4 linked regions of the Caenorhabditis elegans genome follow. The protein of the gene in region 1 interacts with the protein of each later gene in a pairwise test. Each region holds a gene or a part of one and is shown on either strand. Other genes may lie near its edges.

Region 1 (4,847 bases):
AATAATTTCAACTCCAAACAGAAAAATCGTTGAGTGCTGCCAAAAAATCATACTTGCTTCTCTAATAAATATTTAGATATTTGGAAAATGTATCCTATGAACTCCTAACAAAATGATATCGAATTTTTTCAAATTTTTTTTCAGCTAGATTTGTTTTTAAGAAGAATTCCACTGAAATTTTGAAAAAAAATGACAAAAATTTGCAAAAATTTGAAATAAGATTTTAGGTACTTGTATTCTAATCCCTCATATTAAAAATGAATTTTTAAATAAAAACGTGTCGAGTTTTTGTATTTTTCGGCTTATAAACATTTAATCATTTCTAAGCCTAAACAGGGAAAATGAACATCACGTTTTATCAGAATCGGAAGATAAATGGAAGTTTAATTAATTTTAAAAATGCGGGGTTTTAATGCACAAGTACCAAATTTTGTAAATATATTCGCTCTTGATTATGATTGCTTTTATTCTTTAGATTGTTGCATTGTTTCCAGGATAACTCAGTCTCATAAACTATGTCCTCCAGAAAGTTTTTTACTGAACAAAATGAAACTTGCTTTGGAACTCCATAGGATCAATTCCTTTTTTCAGTCATTTTTCAGCCGCCGTCATCTTCCATTCCTAAACTTCGCTTTTAATATTTCTCCCGTTCAATATAAAAATAGTGAAACGTAAAAGGAATGATGATTAGGTGACCACGGATTGCACTTGACGAGTGCCCGATAATGATACATCGAGAGAGTGAGAGAAAAAGAGCAGGCGATCTAGCGACAGCTGTCGGGGGTCGTCGAAGTGTAGAAGGACGGACCTCTGAAATGAAAGCAAAAACGTATTCCGTCTCTCCTCGAGAAAATATATACTCCATCTCTTTCTCTCCCTCGCTCTCGCCGGGAGCCCCGTCTACCCGCTGTAACAATACCAGTGTTCTATCGGCTCGTCGCCGCTTTCGCCTCGAAAGTCTTCTCGAGGGGCTCGCAATTTATTGGCTTCTAGACCATTCAGCTTCTTCTTCTTCTTCTTTTTCTGCTTTTTCATTTTCTCTTCTTGCTGCTTCGTCTCTTTTTCTTTTTTACCGCCGACGTTCTGGTTGCACTCGCTCACTACTACCTGTCTTTTTTCGCTTGATCATCGTTTCATCTTTTATCCTCCCACTTTTTTTCGTATCCGCTTTTCTAGTTTTTTAGGATCTAGATTTTTGAATAGTGGTTTTGGTTTTTTAGCTTAAAAACTCCGCTCTAAGAGCTCTTTCAACCTTTTTCGTAGAATTAATGTTCAGAATTCTCATCATCATCACCATCTATCGTTCATTCTTTCATCACATCTTCTTTTCCAAATCTTCTTACAAAATATGTCGCTCCTCCTAAAGGAAAAGTTGTTACTATTACTAATCACTTCAATCTGCAGTTTCTGCTGGTTCAGGCCACTCCTATTCTTCTTCTTTTTCGCACTTTCATTTCAATCTATGTTTTCCCACTAATTGCTACCTGCTAGATACTGATCTATTATATAATTCTATTTTAAGTTACCAGTGGGTTCAAGTTCATTTTATAAATAAAAAATGCAATGCAAATAAAAAATTTTTTAAGTAGTATTTTTCCTCTCATTATGAATCAATCCTCCTTCCTCTATTAAATTTGATTATGATCCTATCTTTTTTCCTTTGTTACCTCTCACTCTGCCTCTCAAGTTTGTTTGATTTGTTGCGTTTTTCCATGTTTTTGTGCATTTTTGCTCCAACTTGCTGCCACCTACTCAACAGTTGTCCTGCAAAATATCTCGTTTCTTTGTTCTTCCCCCGCCATTCTTTTAATCTCTCTTCCAATTTCGGACATCTTTCAGTACTTGCGAGAGCAAAGGGTAAATGTACCATCTTGACGACGACTACTTCGCAAGATTCAACCAGCCGTCGTCCTCGTCAGTGCAGTTTCCATCGGAATCGTTACGGTACGGAGGCAGTGGTTTGGCCACTACAACCACGTTTGGTGCTGAAAACGACCCCCAAACTACTCGTTTCCGGTCGCAGTCGGCCGATAATCGAAGATCAGCGTTTCAACATCAGCCGAGAACAATCTCGGAGGATCACATTCCAGAGCCGTGGAATCAAGGACCACTTCGTACTGCTGAAGTGAACTTTCCGTCCCAACAACGAAGACCAGCTTCAACCACGCCCTGGTCGTCACATTCAGAGTACCACTCGTCACATAACCTGTCAGTACCCTCTTCCTTCTCGGAACACCTTCGCGAAAGATCGCCAGCCAGTGGCTCTGCACTTCTCGACTTACTCTCTCGTTACCCGTCTGCACAGCACTCTGTGCAAAACTCACCAGCCGTGCAAGCCTATATCGACAGAATTCACACGGATCGGGCTCCACCGACACGATCGTATACCTATCAATCGTCCGAATCTAACTTTCCACTAATTGAGTATTCAATTCGCCAAGAAGTCCCAAACGGTGTTCGATCGACAACTTCGGTTTATCAAAACGTGGTTCCAAACGGAAACGGATATCCGTCTCAACAAAGAGTGCAAACAACCTTCACCTCGAACGGTCCGGTAACTTCTACTTTTCATCGCGAATACCACAACTCTACCCCGCATCAATATCAGCACTCAAGTTCGCTTGGTGGTCCTCCTCTGCCACTTCCACGAGAGTCGTCATTGCAACAGCAGCAGCAACAGGCGCACCCGTTCGAAAATCGATCTGAGTTTCATCGTCATCCACCGCCGCCGCCGCCGCCATCTTCCTCTTCATCTCATCAATTTTACAACAACGGAGTACCCGCACTCGCCTCAAGTGCGTCGTCCGGAGGTTTTCGTCAACCCGTGTTTCACGACACGGATCAGTTGGATATTATTGCTCAACGTCTCCTTGATGACAACATGAGTCGAAGCACATCAGAATGGAGCAAATCGTTTGAACAGTTGCAGAATCGGTTTCAAAATTTGGAAAGCGATGACTTGTTGAGTCCATCCGCTTTTACGACCACTGGGTCAATGACTTTGCCACGACGTGGAGCACAGCTGCCAATTTCAAAGTCTTCAAGTAACTATGAAATGAATAGTTCGCTTCTTGGAAGAGCGGTTGAACGAAGAGCAGCTGAAGCTCCAGAACAAAGAAAATCCGGAGCATTGGATAATTTCTGGAGTCAAACCATCAGCTCGAGACCTTCTTCGCCAACAATTCAGAGAATTCCAACAAGTTTAACAGCAGCAGAACGACTTCAAATGTTACAAGAACCAATCGACACTGAAAAAAGGTTTACTCAGAGAGTTGGCAGTGGTCAAGGAGTTGCTGCAAGAAAAGCTGAGCTGATGAGAGAACCATCCGTCGAATACACCGAGAAGCCGAGAACTCCATTGAATCCAGCTTTTCCGTCAAATTCTTTCCTAATTCCAAGTTTCAATGAACTGGATAATGCTGTAAATGAACTCTCAAGAACTGTTCGTGGAAATACATTTGGCGGAACAACATTTGGATCCGTGTCACCTGCACCTGTTGTTCACAATGATTCTCTAAACCGACGAGTTGGAGGTTGCGGTAGATTTCCAACAGGTGAACACGCTTTTAGTCCCCCACCAATTGAGGTGTCTAAGTCTCCTGCTTTGTCACTTCACCGGAAGCTGCACTCTCCATCCCCAACAGATGAGGTCAGCGAGAGCTCTTCAGTGTATCAGATTCCAACAGGACTTCCGCATCCAAAACCGAAGCATAATGTGAAAGAACAACTTCATTTAGCTGGAATTCATACTCCTGGCTATCAAATTTCGCGAACCATGTATCGAAACGGACCGAACTTCCCGGTGCCCTCGACCGGAAGTGTTGCCTCTCGGATCACAGAATTCGAAAAACGACCAGGCACTCCCGTTGTGCAACTCTCGACCACAACCGTCAAATACAACGAGCATGTACCAGTTGCGGCGACCGCTAAAGCTGTACCGCAAACCAATGGCAATATGAGTCCACGGAGCGCGGTGTTTCGTGCCAAACCAGTCATTCACGTGGACATGGGCAGCACATATCAGCACTCGTCGCCGACACCGCCAATCCGTCATATTCAAGTGCATTCGGTTCAGAATCAGAATCATCAACCACTGCAAAATCATCAAAACCACCAGTCCTACCTTGGGAAAGAGCAACATAATCACTACCGTCCACAGTATCAGCAGCAGCCAATTAAACAACACGACATTGCGACCCATTCGATTTTCGACTTCAAATCAAACGTGAGTATTTTTTAGTTCTTTTTTTAAATCCTGATCTTCAATTTCTTATGAGACTGTGGGGTTTTGCTTGGCAAAATCTTGTTAGTGTACTTTCAATCATGTGGGAATAGTGCAAACAACCGCGAAAAACTATCGGGGCTTGTGTTCGGAGATGAAAAAGTATTCTGGATCTTGTTTTCGAGAGAAATGACAGTTTTTAGAACGTGTGCTCTATTTTGAGACGATTTTTGATTGCTGTTTCTATTAGTTGGTTTTTTTTTCTCAGACACCAAAAAATACTTACGTCAATCCTGAGAATTGCACCTTTCCAAAGTATAAAATAACATGTTTTTATAACTCCAAATGTAGTTTTTCCCTTATCTCTGTTTAGTTTAGGTGATCATTTCAATGAAATTTTTTTTTCATTAAAATTGTAACTTTCAAATTATTTGTTAAATAATTTCACAACAATTTTCTGCTTTGTTTTTGGACATTTTCGGAAACGAATACACATTTCTATGACGTCCATTCTCAAGAATTCAGTGTAAACACAAGTGTCAATTTTCGCTGAATTTTATTGTTTCAACTTTGCCTTGTTTGTCATGGAATTCCAGAATTTTAATAAAATTCGAAATAGAGTAGT
Region 2 (6,802 bases), on another chromosome or scaffold:
ACGACGACATGCGAGGTAGGTCATCTCACGTCTTCTTCATCTTCTTCTTCTCTCGAAGATGTTGGTGGAAGGAGAGAGAAAGAGATGCAAAAAAACGGGGAAGGGCATGGCCCGGCGACCGGACCCGCTAACCCGGTCACCCCGTTTTCGGCCATGGCTAACCCAAAAAAGATTCATTTTTGCCGATAGGACAACAATTAATTCAGTAGTTCGTTTCAAGATCCATGATCCAGGTTCTAGGTTCCAGATTCCAATTGAAAGGTTTCAAAATGTGTTTGTGTTGTCTAACCAATGTTTACCATCTATGTTATGCACGTTCCACTGTTATCAAGTCTATCAAATTGATCAAAAATGCCTATATTTCACGGTCACTCTGCCATTGCCCCATAGTTGGACGAGATAGAGACCACCACCTTCCTCTACCGTAATACTCTTCAAAATGCCCTTTTGAAAAGATGAATTGTGAAGGAGGGAACAGCCCAAAATTGAAGAAAGAATCGACATTTCAACACTTTGAAATGATGTCGTAGTTCGTTTTTGGCTTCTTTGTGTGGATTTTGATTATGTTTCAGTTTTACAGTATCTTATACGCTTATAATTGTTTTTTTTTGGACTTTAAATTATTTTTACCATCACCGTATTTTTCTTTTCTTTAGCGCAACTTAAACTTATTTGCTTTTCCTTTCTGGTATTATACTGAGTTATTTATTATGTGATTCCTATTTATACTGTAGTTTTATTTATAAACAATTCCCGGTTCCTCCTTTGACACTTGAAACTTCTAGTTTAAAAAGTCTCACAGTACTGAAATCCATTACTCTACTTTGTCAATTTATATCTGGACTAATTTTACAAATATCAAAACACAGTCAACTACGAAGCAATTTGTGAATTGATAACTTTTCGATGAAACAAAATGAGATATAAGCTAAAAAGGATATGAACAATGTGGCTCAATTATAGTACGGTATCTATTTTGCACCCAGTACCAAATAAATAGTCGTACCCAGTAAATGGAGCACAAAAACCATGCTTCAGATTTTCGTGCGCCCTTTTTCATTTATGAGAAGATTCGTTTTCCCATTTTCTGTCGGATTAATACTGATTTGAAAATTTCAATTTTATTACTGTGTCTATTTTGCAAAAGTTACACTTTTCAGTTATGGTATATTTTGATATTTGAATTGTACTATTATTTTGTTATAACTCAACATCTTGAAACTGTGCAGGATATTAAAAATACTTATCGAATGGTTTTTTTCTTATTTGTGGTCGTGTTCTGTTCTTTTCCGAAACCACATTCCCTCTTTTGTAGATTAAGATCAGTATCTCAAAAAGATCTCTGATTTTCTCTCCCTCTTTCTCGCTTTACTTCTAGATATTTACTTTCACTATTTATTTTATACATCTAAATTTATTATGTAAGGAGCACTAAAAATAATTTTCTCCCCCTTACTAAATTTTTCCTTATTGGTCATAACTTCAACTCAATACGGACAGTCTTTATGGCCCGCACGAGTCAGTACCAGTGCGGCAGTTATAATAAGTATTAATGGTATCTCATCTCCTCATCGAGTTATTATTCCCAATTAAGTTCGTCTCACATCTTGACCTTGAATTCAGTTTTCTTTATTCCCCTTTTTAAGTTTACACTTACTATTAAATTGCAAAAATCTTAAAGCACAGCTTTTTGGTTTTTTTTACTTGAAATTACATTCTAATTATCTCACACAATGTACTTTATCAGTGACTAATGAGAGTGGGGGTAAGGGACACCTTTTCCCGTCCAGCCGCGTGTCACCGAAAACCGGTATTCTCTACCATTAGGTGGTCACTGTCGGTACCAGGTGCATGTTCTCGCTTCGATGGTCTTCAATGCAACATTTCAATGGTCATTTCGAGAGTTTAGCCAAACAACATCAAAACCATTTTCACTCATTTCGAAAATCTTGAAAAAAGGTTTTTAAGAAGATCAGGGGTCAAGGCACATCAGAGCGCATGGCATGGCCTGTAAGGTCACTGGCCCAAATCGGCACCTCACTTCAGTTCTCGAAATGTCATCGTTCGTGTAGTGAGTTGTTTTTCTGTTTACGTGGCACCTCGGCGGGTGTCCTGAAATCTTTTGATCTAACTCTAGACATTTGAAGCAATCCGTAATGTTCTAGCATACTGTAGGGATGTTTCAATTCAAAATGGAAGTTTCGAAGACTATCTAAGATGGCTGAAAGTTTCTGAAATTTTGCACATATTTTTAACCAGATTTCGGGTGTTCTTCACCGTTTTTGCCATCAAATTCACTTTTCCCAGTTTTCCGCGGCGGTACCATCACGTACTTGCTGTGTATACGTCTCCGTCTCTCTTTTGTCGTTTCGCATGATCAGCGGAAAGTACAATTTACGAAATTGCAACCTCCCGTCGTCGTCGTCGCTGCCGCTGCCGCCACCACCATCATCGCAAACCACGTCGTCTATATCCTGCCTCACACAGCGCGACGACGTCGACGACGCGGGGTCCTGTCACCTCCTGGCGGGAGGCATACCGTACCGTTCGCGCGCAACACACCGTGCACAGGTACCGAGGTCACTTCTCGAGATGAAGAAATAGCGCGGAGACGTACACACAATTGTCTTCTTCATCTTCTTATTCCTACGTCTTCTTCATTTCCTACCTTGTTTCTCAGTATTCCCATATCCTCCATCGTCACCGTCTCTTCATTCTTTCAAAACACTGTAATTGTTATGAGAGGAGCGGTGAGATGGGGATAAAGTTGAGAATAGGCAGGAAATGAAGGATGAGCGGTATGATGAGGAAATATGAAATATGTTGCGAATATATAAGACCTGATAATTGTGGTCCTAGGAAACGAGGTTGAAAATCGAGCCGATATAATAAAAGAGTTGGGGACGACGAGATTTTTATCTGAATCAGAAATGAGTGATGCTATTCGAAGTGAGATTGATATAGATTTTATATTCTTGCCGTATACATTTTCTGATTAAAATTTATGCACAAAAACATAAAGAACTCCCGAAGCATATTTCTCTTGGCGGGTTTTCGTCAAATTTTTCATTTAAAAATACCAAAAAGCTGAGCCATTTTTTTTGCGTTTTAGGCGAGACATTAAAATTTCCAGTTTCACCAAATTTCTTTTGAAGAATTCCATTTGCAAAACAATGCAAAAACAAAATTTTTTTGTTTTTTTTCAAATATTTGAACTTCTGCGTTTTTAATATTTATAAATATTAAAAACGCAGAAGGTACGGTGTGCTAAGAGTGTTTGCGGACTTTAGTTCATTTTATGTCGCCTACCGTAGTCCGCCTCGCTGATATTCGTTTTTTTTTAAATTCATTTTTGACATAAATATTTTGTTTTCAACCATTTTTCTCAAATTTAAATTTAGAATTCGAAAAAAATCTTACTATTCTAATCTAAAATATGCAATGATTCAATTTTTAAGGCTAATTCCCCCCCCAAAAGCAAATAACAATGAAAAAAAATGTTCAGCAGGAATTTAAATATTTATTTTGCGTGAATTTTTTTCCTAACTATAAGCTAGTTATTATGTTTAGATTATATCTTATTGATAAAACCTAAATAATAATAATAAGTCACGTTAAGATCCACGGCTGGTTTTTGTTTCGAAATTTCAATTAATTTCAATTTATATCCTCCAGTAACTAATAGGTGAGTTTCTTAAGCTCTGCGATTGCATGGCATTTCGTAAAAAAAAAACGTTTCGCAAACTGTTTCTAGACGTTCAATCTTTCCGCGTATCCTATCATTACTCGCTTAAATTGTAGTCCGCCTTTCTTGATTTTATCTTCAGCTGGCCTCGATCGCGACAACAAGCTCACAATTTTCCGATGCAAGCTGTAGAGCAGAAGTTGGCTGATGCAACACGAACTCTTCATGCAAAGTCATCTCTTCAACCATCACTCTCAATTGAAACTCCAAAAAGCAAGGAAAATGATGAATCTGGATGCGAGAGTTCAAATTGCATGTTTCATCCGCATACGATCAAATCGGAACCAAATTTTTGTTTTGCTCGGGAGTTTAAGTCAGTTCCCGATGATTTTCGTATAGGCGGCGGAGATCTTCAAATGGGAAACAATTCCAAAAGATTGACATGTGTTATTGATACAAATCGAGTCGATATGGCCGGAATTCTTCCTGATAATATGAGCTTCCGGGGACTTCCCGAAAACAAATCTCTTCTGGGTATGCACGTATTTTTTGTTCATTGTCCTACTAACCTTTAAAACCCTTGAAATTTGGAATTTGGAACCGAACTCTGAAAAAAAACACTCCAAAATTGTGATAAACTGAACTTTTTAAAGATTCTAAATTTACTTTTTCAGTATCAGCGCAGATAGAAGTAATACCATGTAAAGTGTGCGGTGACAAGTCGTCTGGCGTTCACTATGGAGTTATCACATGTGAAGGCTGCAAGGTATGCCTTTTTACCAGAATTACTTTATTTCTTATACATTTTTCAGGGCTTTTTCCGACGCAGTCAATCATCCATCGTCAATTATCAGTGTCCGAGACAGAAGAATTGTGTTGTTGATAGGTATCTCAGTTAGGAATGTTACAGAAATTTAATATCGTATTTTCAGAGTGAATCGAAATCGATGCCAATACTGCCGTCTCAAAAAGTGTATTGAGTTAGGAATGTCACGGGATGCAGTTAAATTTGGACGAATGTCAAAAAAGCAACGAGAAAAAGTAGAAGATGAGGTATTTACATTCCCAATTCTAAACTTCGTATTCATGTCATCGTTTTTGTCTGTTCAATCCTTAAAGGTTCAGGTTCGAATGCATAAAGAATTAGCTGCAAATGGTCTTGGATACCAAGCAATTTACGGCGACTATTCCCCTCCACCATCCCATCCCAGTTATTGGTAATTATCACCTACATTTTTCTGTCATGCAACGTCATTTTCAGCTTTGATCAAAGTATGTACGGTCATTATCCATCTGGAACTTCAACACCTGTTAACGGATATTCTATAGCTGTTGCTGCGACTCCTACGACTCCAATGCCACAGAACATGTACGGAGCAACACCATCATCTACAAATGGCACACAATATGTTGCACATCAAGCCACTGGAGGAAGCTTCCCATCGCCACAAGTTCCAGAAGAAGACGTTGCCACTCGCGTTATCAGAGCTTTCAATCAGCAGCACAGTTCCTATACAACACAACATGGAGTTTGTAACGTGGATCCTGATTGTATTCCTCATTTGAGTCGAGCTGGTGGTTGGGAGCTCTTCGCTAGGGAGCTCAATCCGCTTATTCAAGCAATTATTGAGTTTGCCAAAAGTATTGATGGATTTATGAATCTTCCGCAAGAAACACAGATTCAATTGCTGAAGGGAAGCGTTTTTGAGTTATCACTCGTTTTTGCTGCTATGTATTACAATGTAGACGCGCAGGCAGTGTGCGGTGAAAGGTATTCTGTTCCATTTGCATGCTTGATTGCCGAAGATGATGCCGAGGTATTTATTTTCATAGAGTAATATCGGCTCATACTCAATGTTTCAGATGCAATTGATCGTTGAAGTTAATAACACTCTTCAAGAAATTGTTCATTTACAACCGCATCAATCCGAATTAGCTCTTCTTGCCGCTGGACTTATTCTGGAGCAAGTGTCTTCTTCTCATGGAATTGGGATTCTTGACACTGCGACGATTGCCACTGCAGAAACACTGAAGAACGCGTTGTACCAAAGTGTCATGCCAAGAATTGGATGCATGGAAGACACGATTCACCGAATTCAAGATGTTGAGACAAGAATCAGACAAACAGCTCGTTTGCATCAAGAGGTATTATTTGCTGAAGCTTGGATATAAATAATCTGGAATGCTTAATTTTGAGGTTATTATTTTTCTATTTACAGGCTCTTCAAAACTTCCGAATGTCTGATCCAACATCATCTGAAAAGCTTCCTGCCCTCTACAAAGAGCTATTCACTGCAGATCGGCCTTGACTGAATCCATATATCATCAATAGTTTTATCCATGCTCTCCTTCCCTATCCCCGTCCATGAATCTCGTTTCCTCCGGTTATTTGTACAATAAGAGTAGACCAAAGCGCCGTTTGAACCCAACGACACCATTTTCTTTCCTTCTGTGATTTCCTTTCCCGACATTCCCCCCAAAACCCCAGTCGTTTCCATGTTTTATCAGAAAATTAATAGAAAAATAATTGTAGTCGTCTGTTGCAGGAGAGTTCCTCATTCTTTCTCTCCTTTTCCTGTTTTTAAAGTGATTTACTCGGATCTTCTTTACTTACTTGTTCTAATTTATTAATGACTTTTGTCACCCCCCCCCCCCCCCTCGTGTACCATGTACAATCATGTTGCGTTCCATGTTTTCTTGCATTTCATGTTCAGTAAAATTTCTGAAACCATACCAATCTCTCTCTTGTCTTATCATTTCTCTTCAGGTATTGATGCCTCTCCCCATCCCATCCCATACTCTTTTCGTGATCAACACGGGTACAAAACCACAAATTTCCATTTATCTGGATTTCTAGGCGCACTAATTTTTATTTTATTAAATATCTCCCCATTTATTGCCTTTTAAAACTCGTATCATTCCAGTGTCTGCGCTTTAATTACGCCTTCTTACCCATTTGATCCAACCATTTTCTCGTTTATGGTGTAGTGGTCGCTTGAGTGTTTCCATTGTTTCATGTAACATCCTAAATATGTTTCATTGTCATCAATGCATTCAGCTCCATACACCGACTTTTTAATTTATTTCACTTTCCTCTCGGTTCTACCTGCCCCACAA
Region 3 (2,809 bases), on another chromosome or scaffold:
TTCACCTTTTTGGTAGTGGTTTCTGGAATTTTATTTGACAACGGTGGAAGATCCCATGGCTTTGGATCCTCCTCTGATTCCTCCGATGATTACAGTGGCCGACGTGGTGGTGGGCGGCATAGGCCTCCAAGACCTCCACGGCCTTCAAAACCTGTAACAACACCTAAGCCACGAGACGACTGGATAACGATCAATGGGCCGTTTACAACCACTCTACCAATTCCTGGAGGATATTGGGATACTGGGAAGATCATGCGTATTTATGGTATACCTGGAAGTGGAAGATGGACCATCAACCTGGCAAAATCAAAAGTTTGGGTGTTTCACTTTGCGGTAGAGCCTAGCAAGGGACTTGTGAGTTTTGCTTTTGTAGGCTAGACGCCTCTCAGGCTTCGGCCCCTCTTCATCAATAGTTTTTTAGGTAGCCAGAACCCGACATTTGAATGGAAAGTGGCAAGTCGGTGAAACATATGGTGGAAACCCATTTCGAGCTAATGCCGCCTTTAATGTTACTATGGTCAATCAGCCAACGCATATCGAGATTCATGTCAATGGTGCATTCTTTGTAAATTTCAATCATCGAGTTTCCAATCCATCCAGAGACTATCTATCGATTTCCAATTCGTTTCTATCTCGAAAGTGGAGTTTTCACGATAACTTTAATAAAGAATTCTGTTGCATTTGGTAGAAATTTGAAATTATTTTTCAAGGTCTGATATGGAAGATGTCACATAACTTTGTTACGAAAAAAGTTACAGCAGCTCCGACGGGACTGTATTTTGACTAAACTGGCTAAGTGACCCACGACTTTGGAACTAGGTGTTTTCACGAAACAAAGTTCAATAGGAAAATAATTTTTACAGATTCTTCTACATCTTGCAATTTATTGTTCTGTCACAAGTTTACTAGGAAACATTACACAGAATATGAAACATTCATAACCAAAGTCAGATTTGACAAAAGTTCTTATAATGTGAGCAATATTTTTTTGGATCAGACTCTGAGCCCCGTCGGATGTCAGCTGCTGAAATTTATTTCATAACAAAGTTAGGACATTATCAAGAGTGTGGTTATCGTATTTGACTTATAATTGTTTGAACAACTCAAGCAAATTACCGTGAAAGCAAAAGCGAATATACACTGTACGAGTGTAACTAGAACGACATAATACCCGACAAATATAATAAATGGGCTTATCCGAGTCGTAGCAATTTCTTGTATTGACGGTTATATCGAGGAACTATCAAATTCTATCAAATTCCACAAAAAAAAACATTATCACGAAATATAAACTTTAGCAGGTTTTTGATGAGTTTAATACGAAACTTTTGCATTCAAGTTGGAGAATTATACGGCAAAAAATAAAATGTTTTGTTCATTGATCTCTAGAATTCTACCCACAAAAATTGAAAATTGAACAGAGATGCATTAAAAATTGCCGCGCGCAATGAAAAATACGTGGTAGAGGTGCAAAAAGCGCTATAAAACATGCTTCCATCTCCGCCAAATCTTTAAAAGTTCCTTTCCAATGAGGCTTTTACATGTTCTTCTGCTATTCACATTTTTGGAAGTGCTTTTTGGATTTGTACTCGACACCGGTGGTGGATATTATGGCTCAGGATCCTACTCTGATTCCTCCGATGATTACAGTGGGCGACGTGGTGGTGGGCGGCATAGGCCTCCAAGACCCCCAAGGCCCCCAAGGCCACCCAGGCCAACACCTAAGCCAGTAGAAAACATGGAAACTCTTCATGGGCCATTTGGGCCCGGTGTGCGTTATCCGATTCCTGGAGGATATTGGGCTACAGGCAAGGTCCTCCGATTTTATGGTGTTCCTGGACGAGGTAGATGGTCGATTAACCTGGACCGAGAAAAGGAGTGGCTGTTTCATTTCGCGTCACAGCCTGATTTAAGACGTGTGAGTTTAGACCCTCATGTTTAGGCCATGTTGCTTAAAAAACAGTCCTTGCATCCTATGTATATCTCATTTTTCGTTATTTTACAGGTTGTCAGAACCCGTCATTTGAATGGAAAGTTCCTCCTCGGTGACACATATGGTGGAAACCCATTTCCAGCTGGTGCTAATTTCAATGTGACTATGATCAATCAGCCAACGCATATTGAGATTTATGTCAATCAGGTTTTCTTCACAAACTACAATCATCGAACTCCCAATCCATCGAGAAACTATCAATACGTCGTTTTCTCCGGAAATGTCATTATCTCGAAAATTGAAGTTACTAGATAATTTGTTTAACTGAATGAAAGATTTGTTGCCAGTTTGTTGAAACATTTGCAGTTTTGTACAGTGCGTTTGGTGGTTTTTCAAAAATGTTCAAATGAGTATAACTCTGAAACTAAAGCTTTCTGCAAGAAAAGCTCATTTAACAAACTGTTGCTCATAATTTTTTCCACGCGACAAAACATGTTTTAAAATTTCATATCAATGACATCAATAAATACAGTGCCCGACATCTCGCGAGTCCAATTTTGACGATTTTTCTTTAATTTTTCCAAAAAACGCATATTTATTTGGCCGACGCTATAGCTCAGAATACGGCCTTCCACGAAGGCGAGGCAAGGAGAAGGTACACCACGCCCGCACTAACACACTCTGTGAACTGCGGCCGACGCTACGCGGGACCTCGCGCCACTATAGCTGTGTACAACAGAGAAGGGCGGTGCTGTTTGGCGAGAGTAGCGCCCTTGTGGAAGGCCTACGCGGGCACGTGGCGTCTGATCTACGTAGATCTACATTAACCGCGGGTGAAGAGAGGCAGAGTTCTTAGCTGATTTCGCACGGTAAAGA
Region 4 (7,828 bases), 7.0 Mb from region 1:
AGTTTGCTGACTGTTATGCCGGCATCGTACCATTGTTCCTTCGATTGGCAGAGACTTGTCCATTCTGCTTCTGAGCTCAAACATCATTCCGATTGTGGTGATGATTTCTGCGGCAATTCCCTAGAAATATGAACTTTTCTAAGGCATTATTTGTGCGAAATACCGAGGTCAGCACACAGAAAGTGTGACAAAAGAAACGATTTTCAGTGTCCCTTGCAACAAAGCAGAAGAAGTTGAGATCCTTTCTATCCTGACATACGACTCTTATTGTATAGACACCATAGCCGTCAAGTAGAGTCTAAAAAATCATTGAGATTAATCGGGGGGCAAGTTTGTCAACGCTTCGGATTTTCTAATCAAATTAATATTGCGGGTGGTCTTTTGTGGCCTACAGCTGATATCCGATTGCGGCGAATTTCCTAGACTAGTCAAAAAACGTCTCAACCTCTAACGTCTGCTGAGAAAATACAATTGATAAAATTGATAAACACAAACAAAATATGAATTCTCGGTTCGAGAAATATGATGTTCTATTTCTAAAATCCAATTTCCGAAATACCATACGATTAAAATATCTTTGTGTTTTTTTCACATCGTATAAGTATATTTCATAAGTAATCAGATTTTATGAAATACTTTCACGTCATAACTTTCCTGCAACGAATGCAGGTGTATCAGTCGTTAAATTATTGTTTCCCGACCCCCTTATTCTTTAACCGCTTCTCAGTTCTGCTGAACTTTTACAATTTGTCAATTCCATTAGGTGATAATTTAATCATTACCTTAAAAGTTTCATCGAAGATAGTGATTCCATTGCAAGTCAAATCCAAAGTAACCCGTGGAATAGTCTCCCAGTCAATTATCGACTCTTTGATTCTTGTCATAGCTGCATGAGCTTCATCAGAGCATTCGGTTTCTCCAATTTCCAGAACACCGAGGTGGTGTGCACGATACACCACGTTGCCCTGCAGCAACTTGTTCTTGATCTTGTCAAAATCGCCTTGTGGGCATTCAGCACAGTTGTTTCTGAAACTTGTTGAATGTTTGTTCTTTTGAAAATTATTTCTCATTAAAAACTTACTGTTTTGACCTTGGCGGCAGAGGAGGAGGTGACATTAATGGCTTAATCTGTAGTCGATTATTGTACTCTTTTCTTTTTTCGTCTTCTGCTTTTTTGAACGAATGGAGCATTCTAGCAATGTGACCAGGACGAGTAACACCGAGTTGCTGAAATTAAAAATATGCAACAATTATCACAGGTCTATGGATATTTTTTGATTAATAAACGCGAAATCAGTGATAAAAAGTATCTTAAAATCACAAAAGTTGTTATTTGAACAAATTTACTCACCATCAATCTTGCCGTGTCCCAGTCAATTTCTGTCAATTTTGCCATATGCTTGTATCCTGCACCGACAAAGTTGGAAATGTAATCTTGAAGTCCGATGAAGTTGAGCCATTCACTAACATAGAAGAAACGTCCTGGAATTGAAAAGTGATTTGAAAAATTGATGAAGGTTTCTTAAAATGTTCCGGCAGAGTAAATGTGTTTTATGAATGTGTTTTATGTTTCAAAAAAAAACCAACCAGCACTAGCAACATCATCCTTCAATTTCTCAATCTCTGACATTATCTTGAACTTGGTGACGTCATCTACTCCGATTTCCGTAAGGATACTTCTATTTATTATCCCTTTTAGTTGATCCATTCTATCATATCCATGAGTTTGAAGAAGTGCTCCAACTGAATCAGCCGCTACTGGGGCTAACATAACATCACTTTCCAACCACTCAATTATTGTTTTTGGTTGCTGAAACATGAACAACCGGTGTAAAACGTGACATGAATGGAAGTTGAAACAAAAATGTAACTAAAAGTACCTTTTTTACAAGAAGCGACTTGTGATCTCTGAACTCATCCTCGACAAGTGTTACGCTCAACGCTTTCGACCCACGATCACGTAAGTAAACTGCCACACGTGGCTCGTATTCACGAACAAAAACACTTTCACGACATGGAGCTGCACCAAACGAATCGAATACACTTTCCACCTGTTATACAAAAAATTAACAAAGTTTCACTGACACTTTTTTCAAATTTGAAATTATAGAATTGACATTTAAATCGTTTTTTGTTGTTTAATGCTGATAATCCAAAAACGCACAAACGTTTAGGCGCTGCCGTTATTTTTTACTGCGTTTTATTCCCGCTACCCAGCTTTGCAAATACACAAAAAAGACTGACCTATTACAGTTTTTCTGGCTCTGTATTTCAAATACACCGTAAGAATTAAGCCCGCACAGCGAGTGCAGGTTTTTATCATTAAAAAAAACTTCTGATCTGTTTTTCTTTACATTAACAATAGCTGACTATTGAGAAACTGTTGAGAAACATAAAATCCGTGTGCTTTTTGCAGATACGCCATTGTTACGAAAAAATAAACAAAAATTGGTTTGTCCCCTGATCGACTTACCCTATCCCAACTAGGTTCTTCACTGGTCGTGTCTGATTTCTGGTCTGATGAGGGGGACGACAAATTATCTGTGGGTGAAAGTGAATTCAGCATAAGGTTCGTTGTTCCATTTTGACGGCGGATTCGGACAGGCTCTTCCGGCTCAGTGAAACTGCTATTCATCTGCACCTTCGACGTTGATTCAGTGCTTCTGTGGCTCAAATTTGACGATGACGAGAATCCAGAGAAGAAATCAACATTTGTAGAGTCAACCAGCCGAGATTTTCCACATAACGCGTCAAAGATGAATGCTTTAGAGGTGTTTGGGGAAGGTGGGCTCTCGGCAGAGTTTGATGATGGTCTCATCACGTCTTCTAAAAAAATTGCAGTCACATTGTTGTCTTTCTCATAATTCCCATTTAGATGTTGATTCGCATTTCCTTGGCTGTAAATGACACTGCCTGTCACTGAACCTGTTATTTCTTCTGGCATTGCCAATGGTGCACGGCCGTTATCACGTTCGCGTTCCCGGAAGAACTTATCTGAAATTGCATTTATTTAGATTGACTTCAGGACTCCATAAGTTTAGGAAATGATTTTTTCCTTGTCATTGACCAAAGTTTTTTTTCAGAGTTAACAAGATACCGAGCATGAGATCAGTGTTGGAAGATTCGTTTTCTCATAATCTACCCGAACTTATCAACTCGTACATCATATGCTAGAAATTTTTTAGGTTGTCGTATGCCCCTAAATCATTCCATTTTTGCTTAAAATGCCTACCTTTGTCAAGTGTCGAGCACGCGTATGTCAAGGATGATGTTATGCTGCTTGCTCTGGTGTCCAGTCTTGGACTTTGCGTCAATCCCAGCGATTCTTCACGATCACACGTAGTTCGGGAAATAGAAAACTCTTAAAAGTCTTTATTTTATATTAATTAGAGTCGTTTCCTATACTTACGGTTCCGATTCAATGACCTATCCATTGTTTTGTCTGGGTCTTGAATAAAGGCGTCATTCAGGTCAGGACGACCATGATCTGGAATTCTTGGAGAGTAGGTGGCAAGTTTTGGAAGTGTTGCGTATCCGGATTGTCTACGGAGTGATGCAGATCTTGCTATTGGTGAGTTGGGGCGGACGAATATTGCAGAGTTGTTCGGAACGTTGTCATATGGTGCTGGCGGACGATTGCTAATGGTCAGTTGACTCTTTTGCCATTCATTGAATTTTGAAGGAGAGTTGTATGCACAATTATCTCCCGGGAGTACAGAAGCTGAAAATAAAGTCAATCCGTAAACTCAGAATATCGATAATAGATTACCTATTTGCTTTTCTGTTGGCCTCGTTCTAACATTTTTCAGCCTCGTTGGCAATGTATCGCTGGATCTTTGACACGAATAATGCTTTGAGTGATAACTAGGCGATGTCAACGGGAACCTTCCAGTTCTTGGAGCTCTGTCTAACATGGAACTGTTCCATGTACGATTGATAGAGTGTGTGGTGTAAGGCCCCTCTGATCGAACACTGTTCAAAGCTTCTGTAGAGTCGTCGGGGGATAAATCTCGCAGTCTTGCAGAAATAGAAGGTGGCTGGTAGATGGAATGATTGTTTCTTCGTTGATCCGGGTATACTTGAACTGAAATCGTGAATAACTTTATTTATCATTCAGATTTTGAACTTTGAGCTTAACTCGATTGATAACCGAAATGTTCCTTACAATGCACATATTATTAGTTTTAAAAATAACCCACCGCTTGCTTGACTTGGAAGTGGTTGCCAAATTGCTTCTCTTTCATTGTCACTTTGACTTCCTTCGGTTTCTCTTCCAGAGTCTCTTCTATCCATTCCTTCGATAATTGTTCTACATTCCTTCCATCCTTCCGGATTTTTTACAAAATGGGCGATTTCATTCCTTCGGTTCTCCTGGAGATCGATGATCATTTGGAGCACTGTTTGTCCGTGTTGATTTTTGATATCAGTGTTCACGCCAATTTCCAGCAGAAACCTGACTGCCTCGGCCTGTCCACAAGCAGAAGCCACATGTAGAGCTGTCCCATCTTCCGTAGTGTAGTTAATGGAGAAACCATGTTCACGAAGAGCCTGAAATTAAACATTTAGTACATTTTTCATTTAAGTGAAACAGTAAATTATTTGATTGGGTTTGTTTAACTAAAAAAATCTACAGAACATATGAGTCTTATAAACCTATGATTAAACTACAAAAATACAAATAATAAATAGTAGTGTTTCAAAATATTTACTACAGAAAATATAGTTTTTTTTGTTGGAAAACCGCAAACACCGTGACGCATAAGTGCACAGTCAAAAAAATATCTGTTGAGTGTTTATATTTCAAACTAAACGTTTTTTGGGATGAGTTATGAAAATGAAATCATAAGCATGTTACTATCGAATCTATTTCGAATTTCAAATTTGTAAACATTGTACAAACTTGCAGATTCATATGAAACACGCCTATCAGAAAATTAACCCCGTTTTTTTGCTATTCTCAAATTGCTACCAACATTCACGCAAGGAGTAAACTATTCTGCATCACCCTTACTCTTATACTCAATTCTTGAATAATGAATAGCAAAGTGGAAAAAGCAACTCACTTGCATGCACTCAACGTGATTATACTTTGCTGCAAGGTGAAATGGGTATATGGCCGGAAAGGGCCGTTTTATGTCCGGTGTTCCAACTCGAAGAGACTCATATGCTGACTGCACAGGAAACTTTGGCCATTTTTGGCACAACATTCTGATGGCTTCAGCAGATCCAATGCGTGATGCAACGTCAATCACATTTTCCTTGTTTTCATTACGAATGAAGGGGTCGGCATTTTTCTGAAATTTAAGGAAATTGAAACGATACGTGATTTTTCAAGCTAACAATTGTTAAATCTGTCAACAATTTAATCTCTATACAAGAATCAAACGTCAAACGCATTGCAAAATTGAATAACTTATTATAGATATGAATGTTGTTCCTGTTCACAGTCGAATAGTTTTAATTCTCAAAGTTATCTTTGCTTACCTTTATCAAATAGAACACAACTTCAAGATGACATCTCTGAACTGCAAGATGAAGTGGAGTTTCATTGAAAATGTTCACTGCATTCAGAATATCTGCGGGCTTTTCCATTGTTTGTAAAAGAAGCATTTTCACAATCTCCAAGTTCCCATTCCAGGCGGCCAAGTGAATTGGTAAAATATTTTTTGTACTTTTACACAGTAAAAGAAGTGGTTCGTAGTCCATAAGGAGTTTACTGATTTGATTTTGATTCTCGAGAACCGCATGATGGAGTAAGGTGAAGTCAGATTTTTCATCTTTGTAGTCGGCGAGCCAATGACTGTCTGATCGCGTTGTGAAAAATCTGAAAAATATCAATAGTTTATTTGAAAATTAGAAAATAAGTATTACTTCAGCCCGCTTCGAATCTTTTTGCCCTTTTTCGAGCTGAGAAACAACGCAACTTTATCATATTCTCCTTTTTTACAAGCATCGATTACTTCGGTTTTTGATATGACAAAGTCTTTGAGGCTCATTTCATCTGAGCTCCTGTAAAATGATCGATTCAGAATTTAATTTAGGACAAAAGAGAAAGCAGATGTTCATGTCAAAAAACAAAAAGAAAAGTAGGAAACAAAAAAGACGGATAGAATATAGGAGAAAGAACAGATTTTGTGAACACATATAGTTTTTTGTCTTAATCTTGTTTACTTTCTCTTTTTGAGATGTAGTTGTATTTTGCTACTCAAGGGGTCCACAAGAAGTAGTAATGCATAAAAAGATAGGAAATGCGAAATATGTAGAAAAAGGGAGTGTTGTAGATGAAAAGCAAGGGGGTCCCCGGGTTTCCTCCCGCGCGAAGAATGCCTCGTAATGTATTGCATTTTACTCGCTTTTCACCAAAATCTCGACAAGAGTGGTGAAAGCAGGGTGATGGGAATAGGAAGGGCGCAATGTGGATGGCCGGTCACTCACAACTCCACAAAACTACACATTCTTTTCTCCTCTTCTTCTTTGCAATTTTTGTCGGTCTAGGAGTGCATTGGATGCAACAACAACAACAAAGAATATAACTACAGCTAATACTACTAATGGTCAATGTAGGAAAAAAAAGTTTAATAGTAGCTTATGGAAAATTGAGTTCGAGTTGTAGTCATCAAGGATATTCTTAGGTGAAAAATTATAGTGAAGATTTTCCTCATATTATCAGCTCTTTGCGAGTTTACATCTAAAATGTACCACTAGAACAAGATACCTTTTATAAACTGCAATGGCTCTCACGAAAAGTTGTCGGATATGTTCTTAAAAAATGATAATTATAGTTTTAACGAATTTCGTGTCAATTCTTCAACAAAAAAACATAGCGTCCAACAATTTAACTGAATTACAAAAAATAAAAATAAAACATGATGGTGACAAAACACTTTTCCAAATTTGCCAGCTGAATTAATATGAATTCCATTTAGAAAATTATTACTTAATAGCTATAGTCAATATGGCAACATTTTTCAAGGTGATTTTAACCGATTTTTCCTAATTTAAATAATTCAGCTGTTTTACATGTTAGAATCCTTAACTTCGCTGAATAAACTTTATATTCATATGTACTATGATCAGTGATGGGTGCACATTACATTTAACTTCTGACTAAGAAAAAATTTTTTGAACAAAAACCAACTCTATGCATCTGAGAAGGTTCTCCTCGAATAATCAGATAAATTCAATTAGAACTAGTGAGCACATGCGGAGGAGGCTGTGCACTTTTCAAAATAGCCTCAAACAACAAAAACATAATAGCACAGGATACACGGTCGATGCTTAAATTGAAGTTAATAATCGTTGACTTAAACATATACGACAAAAAAGATAATGACATGCTGCAAATCGAGAGGAAAAGAAAAAGAGATAAAAGCACTTATGAAGTGCAGTAAAGGGAAGATAAAGGGTGGAAATTGAGAGGAGAAGGTGGAAGGAAGGAAGAATGATAAACCCGTGCTGTTAAGTTGTAATAAGTGTTTCCAACGTGTTGCATATGTAGGTGAATAATAAACACATATCACTTCAAACATCTAAAATTGCGTTGAGGATTTAGTTTCCAATGTGATTTAAAAAAAAAATTGATTATTTCTGCTCACTTTCTACAGAAAAATTGTCCTTATGTTAATCAAAATAAAAATTAGACAAGTAAAAATTGAAAACCACAAATGTATGAAAAATGTTATCAAAAAAACTATAGTGAGGCGGTTCAGATATGCGATTTCGTAGTTTTCCAAATATTTTATATTAAATCCCCAAGTTCGAAGTTTTAAAAACTGAGATTTTTCAAAAAACTTTTGGAACTGTTTCGTTGTTCACACCGCACATTAAA

The links.
Region 2: the proteins of F43B10.1 (region 1) and nhr-23 interact in a two-hybrid assay, tested with the Caenorhabditis elegans proteins (one large-scale study listed by BioGRID).
Region 3: the proteins of F43B10.1 (region 1) and F49F1.9 interact in a two-hybrid assay, tested with the Caenorhabditis elegans proteins (one large-scale study listed by BioGRID).
Region 4: the proteins of F43B10.1 (region 1) and C11E4.6 interact in a two-hybrid assay, tested with the Caenorhabditis elegans proteins (one large-scale study listed by BioGRID).

What each region holds. Positions count from the first base shown.
Region 1 is NC_003284.9:16,651,498-16,656,344, reverse strand, and holds the start of F43B10.1 (EF-hand domain-containing protein), read left to right. Parts: upstream 1-1,833; 5' UTR 1,834-1,861; coding exon 1,862-4,225; intron 4,226-4,847.
Region 2 is NC_003279.8:7,214,959-7,221,760, forward strand, and holds nhr-23 (Nuclear hormone receptor family member nhr-23), read left to right. Parts: upstream 1-1,825; 5' UTR 1,826-2,003; coding exon 2,004-2,071; intron 2,072-3,827; coding exon 3,828-4,219; intron 4,220-4,359; coding exon 4,360-4,451; intron 4,452-4,497; coding exon 4,498-4,571; intron 4,572-4,617; coding exon 4,618-4,738; intron 4,739-4,804; coding exon of another isoform or gene 4,805-4,810; coding exon 4,811-4,902; intron 4,903-4,946; coding exon 4,947-5,502; intron 5,503-5,548; coding exon 5,549-5,830; intron 5,831-5,904; coding exon 5,905-5,994; 3' UTR 5,995-6,270; downstream 6,271-6,802. UniProt on the Caenorhabditis elegans protein: Orphan nuclear receptor. Transcription factor. Modulates expression of target genes, such as Period protein homolog lin-42 and microRNA let-7, by binding to hormone response elements (HRE).
Region 3 is NC_003282.8:4,136,287-4,139,095, reverse strand, and holds F49F1.9 (Galectin), read left to right. Parts: upstream 1-1,523; 5' UTR 1,524-1,528; coding exon 1,529-1,918; intron 1,919-2,005; coding exon 2,006-2,248; 3' UTR 2,249-2,279; downstream 2,280-2,809. Other genes in the region: F49F1.10 (Galectin), read left to right, coding at 1-354, 422-688.
Region 4 is NC_003284.9:9,608,744-9,616,571, reverse strand, and holds the start of C11E4.6 (ANK_REP_REGION domain-containing protein), read right to left. Parts: upstream 6,010-7,828; 5' UTR 5,997-6,009; coding exon 5,872-5,996; intron 5,825-5,871; coding exon 5,485-5,824; intron 5,295-5,484; coding exon 5,064-5,294; intron 4,549-5,063; coding exon 4,200-4,548; intron 4,085-4,199; coding exon 3,770-4,084; intron 3,722-3,769; coding exon 3,410-3,721; intron 3,362-3,409; coding exon 3,233-3,361; intron 2,995-3,232; coding exon 2,474-2,994; intron 2,052-2,473; coding exon 1,881-2,051; intron 1,811-1,880; coding exon 1,588-1,810; intron 1,483-1,587; coding exon 1,352-1,482; intron 1,228-1,351; coding exon 1,082-1,227; intron 1,027-1,081; coding exon 783-1,026; intron 299-782; coding exon 164-298; intron 121-163; coding exon 1-120.